Linked DNA regions of Drosophila melanogaster. The protein of the gene in region 3 interacts with the protein of the main gene of each other region in a pairwise test. Each region holds a gene or a part of one and is shown on either strand. Other genes may lie near its edges.

Region 1 (5,371 bases), on a different chromosome or scaffold from region 3:
GGGACTAGTTAGGTAACAGAGAAAAGATACACCGTATACCTTTGAATAAGGATACAAATTAATGGTAGCTCTTTGATTGCTTAGCCAAGAAAAATTACTATTTGTCTTCAGGGTAAGAAACTCGAAGAAGATCTTTAAATAAAATTCATAAATATTGATTATTGTAGGTAAAGTAGAAATATGAAAGCCAGACGAAATCGAAAACATTATGGCAACTAAGAGCAAGTCGGTCAAAACTCCCGAGGCCAACAATGGTATCTCTTTTGGAAATTAGTTATAAACATTTTAATATTGATAACGTAAATAAAAAAAATGATAACGGGTATCTGATAGTCGGGGAACTCGACTATAGCATTCTCTCTTGTTTTCCTTATGTCTAGGGAAATGTGTAACAAGGGCAGCATTTAAAAAATAATTTTCAGGGAGAGGAATTCATGATCACTTCCAGCATCCTATTTATGTAAGCCCCTTTATGTAAACTTCAAGCTAAGCGTGCAAGAAATTACATAGAAGATTATATGGTCCCATATGTTAAACCCTGCTTAAACGTGGATTGCCTAAACGTGGATTTTACAAAAATTTTAAATAATACAGTGGTAGTTTATTGCAGATTAGAAACGTTTTCATTTTAAGTTAACTCTTAAGGAACTCTTATAAGGTAAATTGATTATTCTATACAATGTACGTATAATGATAGCTAAACAAAATGTTGTTTATTATACCCGTTACTAGTAATGTAAAAGGGTATACTAGATACGTGGAAAAATATGGAACAGGCAGAAGGAAGCGTTTCCAACCACATAAAGTATATATATTCTTGAATAGGATCTGGCCATGGCCGTCTATCCGTATGAACGTCATACTATGAACGTCTTGATTTCAGAAACTATAAAAGCTAGACGGCTGAAATCAAGCATACAGACGCAAGTTTGTCGATTTTTCTTCGTTTTATTGTTTATCTTGTCAATTTTTAATTTTTTTCATTTCATTCTCATTTTATTTTATTCATTTATGAATAATTTCGCATTCGCAATCCCACTAGCTGAGTAAAGGGTATCGGATGGTCGGGGAACTCGAATACAGCATTCTCTCTTGTTAGAATTTAAGGACTAACCAATTAAATTTATTACACTCCACAACTTAAGTAATGTAGATATGCATTTATCAACAACGGATCGCACGTTGGTGGAACTCTACTGGCAATTTAAACCTTTTTCATTTGATTCATGTATGCTTATCAGCAAAAGTAGTCCTACTAGCTTGTGTGCCGTTGGGTTATCAGCGTTGGGTTTTCTCGGCAGGTTTTGACCGAAAGCATATTGTTGCCAATCAAATCGCCAGAAGAGCTTGTTATTATCTTTGATAGACAATAAGATACCCTTTTCCTGTCTAGTTGGAGGGCAAGAGATGAATATCGAGAGATATCGGGAACTATAAAAGCTACAGGGTAATCAAATCGCTATGTATGTAAGTTTGATTCAAAACCTTACCATTATCGCTTAAGCTGACACGATCACATTTTGTATTTTCATTTTGTATATTCTACCATTTGTCTTCCCAAAAAATGTAAAGCCAACAAACGGCTAAGGCAAAGAATCTAAAATTGTTAACAATCCAAACATTTTGCGACTGTTATTATGGTTTCGAATATCAAATTAAAACAGTGTCGAAATACTGGTATTGTAAAACTAGTACTATAGTAAATAGTAGTAATAATAGTAATAATAGTAATAATAATAATAGTAACTAGTAGATAGTAAAAACTATCTCTCTGAAAACTGTATCCCTAATCTCAACTCTTTAACTTCTATAGTTCCTAAGATCTCGACGTTCATACGGACGGACGGACAGACGGGCAGGGTCAGATCGACTCGGCTATTGATCCATATCAAGAATATATATACTTTTTCAAAGAATCTAGTATACCCTTTTACTCTACTTGTAGGCCACGGAAAAACCCTTGCTTACGCTTCGCAAAAAAAAAAACGAGTTTGCAATGGGCTCGGGAAAGGATTCAGTAGGAAAATTGACTACAATATAAGCAAGTGGAGGTTTTAGATTGGCTAGATAGTCCAGATCTAGGCCCCATAAACAATATTTGGTGGCTAATGAAAAGAAAGCTTCGAATGAACCACAGAGGAACATTTGTGACCTCAAAGAGATGTGGGTATCGATTTCTCGAGAACATGGCCAAAATTTTTTTAAATCAATGCCAAAACGTATTTAATGTGTAATACAGCCCAGGACGCGACGTTACACAATTCTTATGTTAATTAGTCTGTTATACTTTGCAGCGTTCGAATTAATAGTGGCCTTTTTTTCTTATCTCTGTTGTTGTTGTTGAAAATATAACATTTTTTATCAACATGAAGAGAATAAAATTCTCTTTCAGACTAAATACTTTTGCATACGTTATCTGTAGTAGTAATGAGTATACATATCGTGTGTTGAACATTGCACACCGCAAAAAACACATGCTGTTCGAAACACAATACAAAACAATAATAGTAGTTGGGGCTCGTATTTCATTTTCTTGGCTAGGTGTTCTAGAGCACCTTTTTTTTTGGCATATTTAACCCATTATATTATATACATATATACATGTATATATAACATAATATAATTTCTAATAGCATGCATACGTGTATTAAAATTGATGTGGTTTGTAATCTATTTGATTTGTAAATATGTAGCTATGGGACGTAGCGTTTTGCGAGAAAACTACCAATAAGAATTAGATCCTCCACCAACCAGAGAGTTTAACCGCAAGTCAAAGCAAAGTAAAGAAAACAATGCCGGCGCTGAGCGTGCACTGACCTTATCAGCAGGTTTGACTTTGGCAATGAGTAATAATTTCGACCGCGGCTCTCTTTCTCTCATATGTTTCTACTCAGCTGCTGATGCTGCACATAACTATGCACATACATATGAATGTACATATGTACGTTCCGTTGGAAAGAGAGATCACAACGGAGCGCCCATTCGTTGTATTCACTCTCACGTATCACACTGAACCATTGGCGTTAGTCTCATTTAGGCTTAATTGCGTAAAATTCTGATATTAAAAACATATTCATTTTAAACTCTTCAGAACATTAAAATTTAAATCATTATTATGACTTGTTCGTATCCAATCGTATTTTGTAAATCTTCCAGTTCCCAGCCATATGCGCATTGCATGGACTATGTAAACAAAATATGTGAATGTACGAAATACTCAGTTGAGAGACTACAATAATGTTCCGCTGTCGTGCACTATCAGCTGGTGTTCTCTTTTTATCGTACACGGCCCTACTCGCTGTAATTGTTTTAGATTTCCGATCGTCAGCGACTGCTTACTTCCCGGCACACCCGGCGACGCGTGAAGTTCAACTAACAGCGGTGACGGCGTCGCCTTCTCAGTTGGTTTCTGGGTAGAGCGAGACAGTGATAGTGGGGGCATTTTTCTCTTGAGTGGCGACGCTTGAGTGGTTCTCAAAGGACTTGGGAATTGCGTCTGTTGTTCGCTTATCAAAATAAGAGAGAAGAGTCTAGTTCCTCTACAATCAGAAATATCATATACCCATCACTCAGCTAAGTGGAGTCAGAAAAGAATGTGCCATAAGTAGGATCGTCGAGATCTCTGGCACTATAAATGATAGAAGGTTGACCCATGTATCCATTTTCCAAAAAAATTTTTGATACGCCCACTCTAACGTCCTGAAGCTGCCGAACCGGTCAAATTTTAAGTTTTTTCTCATTTTATTCCCCAACATCTATCGATATCCCAATAAAAAAAATAAATCGTGCAATTTCGGGTTCGCATTCACACTAGCTGAGATAGTCGGGGAACTCGACTATAGCATTCTCTTTTCGTTTATATTCTATTTCTTAATTTAAAAAAAAAAATCATTAGGCATCTGAAAGCCAAAAGCAAAAAGGAAGTTCTTAACGTCCTTAACGTCCGATCCGAAGACGCTAGACACTGATTATGTATATGTAAGGTACATATCAGATCATTTCAATTGGTTTCTTTAGTGTAACCGGAAAATTAAGTCGACGTTATCTACACTTTTGTGCTCGCGAACGTGATTATAAACACAACTCGAAGACTAAAAGGTAATCTTTAAAAATAAGGTTCAAGATAACGTTTCTGGCGCTATAAAAAATACATTTACACTTTATGACGAGTTTCGATATCGGGGAACTATAAATCGACACAGTTGAGACTAGACTTATCAGCGGTTCGATCCTTATCAAGTTCATCCACAGTAAAGCAGTATTATCAAATACTGTTAAAATTAAAATATGTACATAGTAATATGAAAGGCGTTTATCCTTAAAAACAAGAAAGTGGAAGTAAGATATAAATTTTTCAAACGGATTTTCTGGATCATATATTCATATTCATATTCGACTCTACAATTTAGTTGATATCAATGGCGCTTAAACACCGCTCAATTCATCACTTTTTCAATGTGTTTTAATCACTATATCCGTACTTATTTTTGAAGAGAGAAATTTCCATCGTCTTGTTGTCAGGTTCTTTTCAGTTTACGATTAAACTTAAAGTAAAATATATTATTATACCTTTAAAGATTTCTTTCTGCTCATGAAATTATTATATTACCTATAATAAAAATCGCAGGAAATCCGATAATCCATTTCGTTTTCTTACTTTCTTTTTTCTCATCCCCGCCCCATCCTTTTTATCAAGATGCAAAAGCACTTAAGCAAAATCTGCTTCCCGGAATGTGGTATTTCTTATTACAACGGGACCAATTAAAGGAGATTGTTATAAAACAGTTGTATGCAGTGGTGCTTGTCATAAAGAACGGATGAATAATCGAATTTTCTTTGGTTGTGTTTTGATTTGACAAAGAATGTATGTGTATGAATGTATGTATATGTATTAAGCAAATGCACTTTCGACGATCATTTAGCTAAGTTATTTCAAACAGAATAGCTATGCTTAGAGAAAACATTGGTGTGCAAATTGGAAGAGGAATTAGAGTTGTTAATTAGGGTTAATTAAAGTTAATAGGTGGAGTTTGTAGCGACCCCTGAAGCTATTATGTTAGAACACCCTGAAAGCTTGAGCCAAGCTTTGGGCGTGTAATCAAGGGTCATATTAAATGCAGTATTAGTCATAGGAAATATACTGGACGAGATGCAAATCTTTATCAGCTGAACTAGGAAAGTTTTGGATAGCTTGGTTATCACAAATGGAGTGATTTCCAGATGATCATGATTTCTTCTGATGGCCTAGACCCAGGCTTGAGTTTCCGTTCTATTTCTTTTCTAATCGAACCGTCGTAAAGTCAATTCGTGAACATTTTTTTCATTCAACTGTTTTTTAGAAAATTATAGCCTGCGCGCGTTAATGATATAA
Region 2 (4,792 bases), about 11 Mb from region 3:
ACGTTGCTCCACTGTATGTAATATGCACAAATGCTCGTATGTTATCGGTGTTCTTCTTTGACGTCTTGTTTTTTGAGTTGGCAGAGATTCCGGCAAATCTAACGGAATCGAAGGGCAACGGGACTTAGCTCTGTCGTGATGAGAGCGAGCGCGAACGTTTGCGTATACTGCTCTGTCGTGATGAGAGCGAGCGCGATAGAAAACGTAGGCACGGTGATTTATCTGGATGAAGCCGACCACGAAGATAAAATTGCCAAACAGCTTTTAGCAATTATTAATTATGATTCTTATGAGCAAGGTTCCCCTCATGGGCCACCAATGAATAGTTGTGATGCCTCACTGCTTTGACATCATTGTAATGGGGTTCGCAAATAAGAATCATATATACACTATTTAACTTCATTTATTTCTTCATATACAAAAATCACGTCTGATCGCTATGACCGCAAAATTACAATGGAGAAAGAAAGAATACAGTTCAGTTCAATTAGCATCGATATATAAAATGTTAATCCGCTGTTAAGACAGCTGAAGCACCGGGTGACTCCGCTCATAATCCGTACACCCTTTGATATTTTATATTGGGTGTAGCTTGAAAATAGCTAGTATTTCCGCAGCCCCAAAAGTAGGCATTAATTTGCTTACAAATCTATTCATCTAATTAATCTTCATCCCCAGCATGGGCTATGAAAAATCCAAAACTCAAAACCAGTTTGATTTAATTAGATATAAATTAGCGTTGCGTGTGGTGCAGACAATGAGTAGACAAACTGGATCGGTCTTGGGCGGATATTGGGCCGCTTAGCCGGTGCAATAAAATGTTAAAAGCCAGCGTGTATCGTCTTAAAAACCGTTTAACCGTACAAATGTGAAGCTAGTTTGGCGCCAGATAAGTGGCAAATAATTTTATTCGAAAATGAAGGTAGACAAAGGGCACAGGTTCTATTTGTGTGTCGATTAAATGACAATAAAGCTAGTTAATGGTGGAATTTGAACTGATTTGGAAAGGGTTATGAACCAAAAGTGGTCACTTGGATCTGTACACATCTCCTCAGACAATAGCGGTGGCATGCGTTGGAGTGGGAGTCACATTGGCCGTCTCATGAGTCTGGGCAGGAGTATAGGTTGTGGCCGTGGCCGGATCGTGAGTCTGGGCGGGAGTATAAGGTGTGGCCGTCGCATGAGTCTGGGCGGGCGTGTAGGAGGCCGCCGTCTGATCTGGTTCCTTGTCCAGGATCACCTTCTTGAGGATGAAGTAGAGGGCTCCACCAATCAGCAGCTCACCTACCGCTACACAAACGATGAGAGCCCATCCGGGAATAGCAAGGCCAGCTGCAAGAAATAACAATGTTGAGCAATATCGATCACGTATACGGCATCACTTACTGAAGTATCTGCGGGTAAGGGTGCGTCGTCCGCGGTTCACACGTCGCGTGGCCTCCGATTCTTGCAGGCAGCAGGCCAACAGTACTACAGAATAGAAAAGAATATACAAATTTAATATTTGTTAGACATAGTGATTCGTCCGAGGCGCAAAACACACATCATACACATTTTTTCAATGATCACGCGGCGTGTGGTCGAAGGTGGCCTGGTAAGATTGCGGCATTGGCTTTGAAGCATCCATCAAACCCAAGCCAAACGGAACTCATTGAAATAACAGCAAGACCATTCATCATATAGATCTTCAAATGCGCGAAGACTTGTTAAGATATTAACAATTAATCGTTGAGAAAATGTTTAACAACAGAGCCGGGCCAAAATCAACAAAAAACGCTGATTCTGATTGAGCCAAAATAGCGCGCGCGCGCCAACTTCTTCGATGATAAATGTGAGCTGGCATATTCCTTCCCCATTGTTCCATTGCGGATGTCAGATTCGATTTCACGTAAAATTATCAAAATGTATTTTTAATTAATAATATTTTATGTGTGTGTTCGTTCAGCTCATTCGGCATATTTTGCGTATGAAATATTAAATGGATTTGTTTGTCGATATGGAAAGTGTATAGATTTTTCCTCGATTCGATTAGTCGGTGATTCATGGAGACAGGCATTTGACAAAACCCATCCGCCAAATGTATGTGGCTAAGAGTGCGACCGATTTTCGTTGGCCAACCGCTAACCAATATTAATTGTTTTCATTCACTTTTTTGTCTAACATATTTCATAATTTATATGCGCAATAATTATGCCACTTCCGGTTTTAGGGCATTGGACTTTTGGCCTAATAAAAATTGCATGAAATCAAAGGAAATGATTTCGCATTTACTCACTGCCAGCTAAATTATATGTTTTATTTGGGATACCTTTCAATCCAAAAAGATTTCCCTCTGAACTCACTGATTCACCACGCCCTAAAGTTAAGCACACCAAGTGATGGGGCAACAATGAGTAAACACAGTGCTTATCTGAATCGCACTGATAAGCACACATTTTTGTAGAGTTTTCTTGTGCCTGATTGTGTGACGCACACTTGGCCCAGTTACTCATCGTTAGAGTCTCCAATTGCTGAAGTTGGGTTATTAAAACCCCACACCTATGGAATCATACGGATGCATCAGTGCATCATAATGCGTTAAAGTCTCACACATGCACAATACTCCGCCCACACACATGCACCAAAAAGTATCTCGCCGGTGTGCTGCGTATCTCTAGTTGGCACTCAAAACTCGGCAGATTCGAACGAGCATGCAGAACTTTACCCAGGCATATCACCAAGTAGGTGGAGCACTTCTTAGCCAACTTCATTTCCGTCGTTTTCGTCGGTTCTTTCGAAAAACTTATGTTCGCTTTTAGCTGTTAGCCAAGTTTGTAACGCGCACGTCGTCGACTCCAAAGTGGAACTAAAAACCTGTGCGTGATTGCATTCGTCGGCAGGTGCTAGTATCTTATCTCAAAGCACCTTATCTTTCATTGATAAGATTAGAAGGCTCTCTTTTCTCCCGCTATATATTACTTCTGAGGTCATCAGCACTGAAAAAAATAGTTTCATTTATGTTCAATCTAAAATGTCTCCTATATTTCTAAGCCTAACATGTTCAATATGCAAAATTCGTTGAGTTCAAGTCCTTACACAATATTTTATATCTGTACTATCGAAGGACAATAAGAGTCTTCTTTATTTATTGCCCATTTTAAAAAATATTTTTATAAAATCTTTTCACCAACTCCTTCGACTTTATAAGCTTTATCCCAATCCTAGGCATATTGTTTAAAAGATAGTTCGAATATTTAAAAATATTCTGCAAAAAGATATAGTAGTTGTAGGATATTTGTTTTAAAAATGTTTATTATTGTAAGTTCGGGTTTGTACTCGGGTTGTTCATAGTGGATTCAAATTGACTAATACGCTCGACTTATTGTTAGTTTCAATCTGAGACTGTCAAAGTCAGGACTTCTTCTGGAAAAACATCCTCGAAAATCTCAAATGCTGCGGTGGGAGTTGGCGCAATCGGCGGCTTAGTGGCGACGGAGCTTCAGACGACGGACGGTCTTGTAGCGGTAGCCATCGCTGGCCAGGACGGTCTGCTCGGCGGGCACATCAATGATGGCAGAGGCGGTCTCCTCCACGGGGGGCAGGTACTCGCCGGAAGGCAGCTCAGAGACATCACGGCGGCGACGGATCACACGACGCACGGTCTTGTAGCGGTATCCATCATCAGCCAGGGGAGTCTCCACAGCAACAGCCTCGGAGGCGGACTCCTCAACAGGGGGCAGGTATTCAGGGGACAGCTCGGAGACATCACGACGACGACGGATCACACGACGCACGGTCTTGTAGCGGTATCCATCATCAGCCAGAGGAGTCTCGACGGCAACGGCTTCGGAGGCGGATTCCTCAACAGGGGGCAGGTATTCGGCGGACAGCTCGTTTACATCACGACGGCGACGGATCACACGACGGACAGTCTTGTAGCGGTATCCATCAGCAGCCAGAGGGGTCTCAACAGCAACAGCCTCGGAGGCAGACTCCTCAACGGGGGGCAGGTACTCGCCGGAAGGAAGCTCATTGACATCACGACGACGACGGATCACACGGCGGACGGTCTTGTAACGGTAACCATCATCAGCAAGAGGGGTGTCCACAGCAACAGCCTCAGAGGCGGACTCCTCAACAGGGGGCAGGTATTCAGGGGACAGCTCGGAAACATCACGACGACGACGGATCACACGGCGGACAGTCTTGTAGCGGTAGCCATCATCAGCCAGGGGAGTCTCGACGGCAACAGCCTCGGAGGCGGACTCCTCAACAGGGGGCAGGTACTCAGGGGAGAGTTCGGAGACATCACGACGACGACGGATCACACGGCGGACAGTCTTGTAGCGGTAGCCATCATCAGCCAGGGGAGTCTCGACAGCAACAGCCTCGGAGGCGGACTCCTCAACAGGGGGCAGGTACTCAGGGGAGAGTTCGGAGACATCACGACGACGACGGATCACACGGCGGACGGTCTTGTAACGGTAGCCATCATCAGCCAGAGGAGTCTCGACGGCAACGGCTTCGGAGGCGGATTCCTCAACAGGGGGCAGGTATTCACCGGAGGGGAGCTCGTTCACATCACGACGGTGGCGCAACTTCAGGCGGCGCACGGTCTTGTAGCGGTATCCATCGTCGGAGAGAACTCCCTGCTCGGCGGGCACCTCCACGAGTTCGGAGGCAGATTCCAGGTTGTTGTCCACTGGCGGCAGGTAATCCGTGGCAATGGAGGCCGCCGAGGCAGCTGCGATCACAGCAAAGGCAATGACAAAGAATTTCTGCAAGGCAATAAGCGAAGGAGAGGGTTATGGGT
Region 3 (4,866 bases):
AGATACATCTCTGTTGAGATCGATTTTGGATTCAATCCTCGGCGAACGGCGACCTATCACAAAACTCGCGGTATCGTTCGCGAACAACTTTTGCTGGCGCAATCGTACGCAACGTTTAGGTGTTTCGGAGAAATCCTCGTTTCCAGGATCCCTCTTCTCGTCCCCTATTGTTAACACTTCCTTGAACATATCCTCGACGGCACTGAAGTACAGCGTGGAATCGGAGGACATTGTGAACCTGATGCTGGCGAACAACTGAGCCCAAAGTTGATTGAAGCAAGTCAAGGGGACGAGTTTGAAATGCATTTGAACGGACCACCAGATCTTGGACACTTTTCAACCCTCGACGGTGTTCTAGGCTACCTGATCCCAAACAATGGTGTACATAAAACTAGGAAAACAGCTGGAAGGACTGTGGTAATGAGGGGTTTCCCTGCTGGTAAACCCTCATCTTAAAAAAATATTTGAACTTCCCTAGCTCAAATATTTATTAGTGAATATCTCACACTTCAATAACGAAGTTTTCTAATTTCTTTCCCCCAAGCTTAAAATATTAGCTTATTTTAGATTTACAAATTTTAAAAGCCAGTATGTAGAGATGCTATTAATTAATGATACACTTACTTTTATTTCCACTTTCAATTTTCTATAGATATTTTAGTTTTATTGTCTTGTTTATAGTGTGTCATCCAGTACAATATAACTTTTTTAATCTGCCTTACATTCATACATATTATACATTAAATATATATTGTGAATGCTTTACTGGGTTTCGAGTTCAAAATGTATTGTAAGGTATACAGTGAGTCACATTTTTTGCCGCTCCAACATTATCTACCTTTCTAAAGAACGCACAAATTGCCCATTCAATTGAGTCCCAAACTATCTATAGATAAGAAAAAATCCCATAACGAGCATCCGACGCGATTAGATTAAGTCATGCACTGAACGGCTTTGGTTCTTAGTTCGTTTCAATTTCGATTTCGACGGAGTTATTATTAATATGGCCTATAGTATAAATTCATGTCCTCAGATCAGTACTCCTTGTTGAAGTAGTCGCGTATGCTGCGCTTCACAATGGGCGTCAGTTGGGCGACCTGCTTCTGCACCTCATCCGTGTTCTTATCCTTGTGATAGAAGACCGTGAAGTAGACAATCAAGCCGATCACCACGACCATCAGGAGCGCAGAAAACACGATGCTCAGGAGCATCTTGCAGGCGCAGGAACAGCAGCTGCAAGGATATGGAAAGATCTGATTAGAAAAGTTTTACACATGATCAAGATGGAGATATCCTGGATGTCAGATCTTGTTGTCAGATCAGTTCAATTAGTTCATTTCAATCAGGTTGAATCCCGAATACTTAGGATGCTTGTAACTGAAGATACCCATTTCTAAATTTCCCAAATTGGCTTCATCCAGAGCTGGTCAAGAGCTCTCACATATAATTTATATATATATAGTATATATTTGTATATGATGATTAGTGAGCCAGAAACCGATGGAAACTTACCAGCAAACCACTTTGCCGGGACATTTGAGGCATTCACAGAGAGCGTTGCACATGGTGATGACTTTTTTGGGTTATTCTATTATAGATAGATATACTGTACAGTATATTTCCGATTCCCGATGCGTGGTTGACCAACACAAAATATTAACTGAAGCGGGTAACTGTCATCGACCGCATTTTGGGGTCTACAGGTATTGAAAGCTTTAATCATATCGGCCGAAAAAATAACAAATAGACTGATAACAAGTCGACTATAATTATCACTACGCCAGTGAGAAAAATGGGTGAGAGTTATTGGAAAACGGAGCTTACAATGTTTCCATTCGACCGAGGTATCTGTATCGTATTATCCATCATTTTCGTACTGGTGCATCCAGCAGAATAAAAATACAGAATAAAGCTATTTGCCACTTAAACATCTCGAGTGAAGAGGGATTGATCGTAATACTTATCATATATATGAAATATTATAAAGAAAACTACTGTTAGCACGACGATAAACACAATGACAACGATTAAGCGTCGATTCCAGCACATAATTCCCTACATTTGATTTTATTGACTATTTTGTTCCAAATCAAAACAAAAAAAAAATAACCAAAGAATTTGATTAGGGTCGCAAAGGTAGATGAATCATTTTTAACTAGAGTAGGGCGCAGAATGTTTGTGACAATGACAAATTGTTTTGTTCGTTTAAAGATATGTATGTCTCATCCGTTCTAGATTGTTTAAAGACAACAATCAACTTTGTGGCAATAGAAGCGGTTTTTACCAACAACAAACTTTCTATATTTAAGGCATTACTGAGCAGGAAGTAATATACCTGTTATCATTGATCATTAACTATGGTAGGAGCTTTCTAGAAATTCTGCTCAATATGAAGAGTATTGTAATGCCTCGAGGATTTAGCAATCTCTATAAAAAAAAAACCTATTAGCTGATAGTGGAAAGTTGTCAATTAAGCTGCCAATACCAGGAATAGTACTTGAAATACCACGAAAATAACGCTGTTGGGGGATTTTTCATCAAACCTTATCTCTATGGTAAAACCATAATAGTTAAAAAAAGCCTAAAGTCGACTATCCATTTTTGTGTAATTATTTATTTAATACTTAATTTAAAAGGATATTCAATCTGATGGAAACTTACCAGCAAATAACTTTGCCAGGACATTTAAGGCATTCACAAATGGCGTTGCACATGATGATAATCCTCGTTTGAAGTGTGTGTTGTATGAGTATTCGATTGTGCTCCCGAAAATGATTTTAGCGTATTTCGATCTGATCTTGGCCAACTCAAATGGATAACTGACTCTACGCGCAGTGCCATTTTTCCCATTTCGGCGTGAAAAGTATGAAAAGCTCTCAACCTACTGATGGAAAAAGAGAGAAACCGATAAAGATTCCAGTTATAATCAATAAAATCAGAAGAGAGGTGTTAGAAAATAAAGCTTACCACATTTTTCGGAGTGGGTGGATTTGTTTCAGATTATTTGAAGTGAGTATTATAATTTTTGCAATAAATTATACAATATCATTTAATTAGAAAAAATCTAAACATATAAACGAAAATGTAATGTAAACTAATGAAATTATTTTTTTTACAACGATAAATGCTCTATAACGAAGAAAGTTTCCAGAATAAAATATTTCTTAATGTTTATTCGTGTGATTAAATAATTTTAATACTTAAAAAAATACGAATGTACTAAAAACTGAAAGCTAAACAACATTAATTGATTCCTCGGGGGTTCACTTTAGCTTTTTGGCAATTCCCAAGTGAAATCAGTCATCTATAAGCAATCTTTATAATGGCTGTAAAGATATGATAGGGTTTTTTTGTACTTTTACGCGAAGAAATACTCGTTAACATTAAGGTTATGTTAAAACTAAGCACTTAAGGTAGGTTCAGTTCACAGGAACCTTATCAATATCGCTAAAGTTCGACAAAAATAGCCTTATTATGATTTATTTATTATAGGTTATTATGGTGGTACAAAACAACCATTTTGTTGGTTTTAACTTTGATTTATTTTGAAAAATATAACAATCCAATTTTGGGTAATTTTAAGAGGAAACTGTGTCATGATTTCGATATTCTCCGATTGAAATTGGTAAGCTTTTTTTTTTTGGGACCACAAGTGAATAGAGAAACACTCCAATGCTGGTCCCCATTAATGCAGGTCGCCGATATATTCGGCGACACCCGATCCCAACTGCTGATGTAGACACTTTGGTGGACTTCTTGAACGGGCACTTACAACGTAAGCAGAGTTCTCTAGCCCTAAGCTCAGTCTGAATTCGCGTTTAAAGATGGTCACACATGGTGTCCTCGGCTTGGGATTTCTCATTGTTGGTCTAATTCTGGCCACGGACGCCTGGCTGTTATCCGAATCTGGTTTAAACGAATCCAGCTACAAAGTCCGTCATCTATCGATGCACTTTTCGCGAGTGTTTCTCAGCGTAAATGTAGAAAGCAACGATGCGCCCACTTTGATCGAGGCGCAATGGCCGGTTTCCTATTTTCCCATGCCCACTGTCGTCTTTCCCCACATCGATGTTCATTCCATGGGGGATCATGATGATTGCTCTCTGGTACAACAGGCACACTGGTCCCAGGTGGATGCACTGAGTCGACTGTGGGTCATGGACATCGGATTTCCCGGCAGCACGTGCTCACCCCGTTTGTTTGTCTTCGATCTGATGCGTAACAACGCGGAGCTATTGAGAATCGATTGTGGACACCATATAGGTGCTAATGACACCCACTTTCTGACTGTCCAAATGGGACCCAAGAGTCCGGGATGCGAGCACGAGCGCCATATTTACTTCATCCTTGGAAAGGTACCAGAAATTCTAGCCTACGACATCCTGGAGCAGACGTGGCACCGCCTATCCTTGGAGAGCAATAAGTACGAGAATATGAATCAATCGTTTCCCATCAAGCCAGTGGATTTCATCTTCGGAATTCAAGGGGAACTCATACTCTCCGACCAGGATGGTGATCTATACAGTACGGTGGACAGACTGGAAATTGAAGGCAAAAGCGAATTAGCAAGCAAACCAATTAACAATAGCATTAAACTCACACATTTGGGCAGTCTTCTGGGCAGCAGTCGCAGCATGATCATCGACAATTTCGGAACATTGTACTATGTTATCCCCAAATTCGGAGCTGTCGTACGATGTGCCAAACTAGCCAACATCACAGCCGAGGGCAACGAAATCATATATATCACATCGAAGAACATTCAGCAGATTTTCTTCACCTCCAATGATGCATTATGGGTCCTAAGTGATCGGGTCTTGAATGCGAAGGACATGTGCTTTCCTAGCTTATAACATTTAGTTTGTT

Evidence for each region. Proteins that work in one complex are often made in the same cells at the same time.
Region 1: the proteins of mex1 (region 3) and ZnT41F interact in a two-hybrid assay, tested with the Drosophila melanogaster proteins (one large-scale study listed by BioGRID).
Region 2: the proteins of mex1 (region 3) and hoka interact in a two-hybrid assay, tested with the Drosophila melanogaster proteins (one large-scale study listed by BioGRID).

The regions. Positions count from the first base shown.
Region 1 is NT_033778.4:5,779,482-5,784,852, forward strand, and holds the start of ZnT41F (zinc transporter 41F), read right to left. Parts: upstream 3,378-5,371; 5' UTR 3,296-3,377; exon of another isoform or gene 2,818-3,295; intron 1-2,817.
Region 2 is NT_037436.4:4,896,955-4,901,746, reverse strand, and holds hoka (hoka), read right to left. Parts: upstream 2,848-4,792; 5' UTR 2,751-2,847; coding exon 2,705-2,750; intron 1,471-2,704; coding exon 1,387-1,470; intron 1,333-1,386; coding exon 1,052-1,332; 3' UTR 878-1,051; downstream 1-877. Other genes in the region: CG13705 (uncharacterized protein), read right to left, coding at 3,462-4,757.
Region 3 is NT_037436.4:15,516,796-15,521,661, forward strand, and holds mex1 (midgut expression 1), read right to left. Parts: upstream 2,798-4,866; 5' UTR 2,715-2,797; coding exon 2,662-2,714; intron 1,991-2,661; exon of another isoform or gene 1,566-1,990; coding exon of another isoform or gene 1,513-1,565; intron 1,234-1,512; coding exon 1,035-1,233; 3' UTR 629-1,034; downstream 1-628. Other genes in the region: CG13454 (uncharacterized protein), read right to left, coding at 1-231; yellow-k, read left to right, coding at 3,825-4,853. UniProt on the Drosophila melanogaster protein: Involved in morphogenesis and development.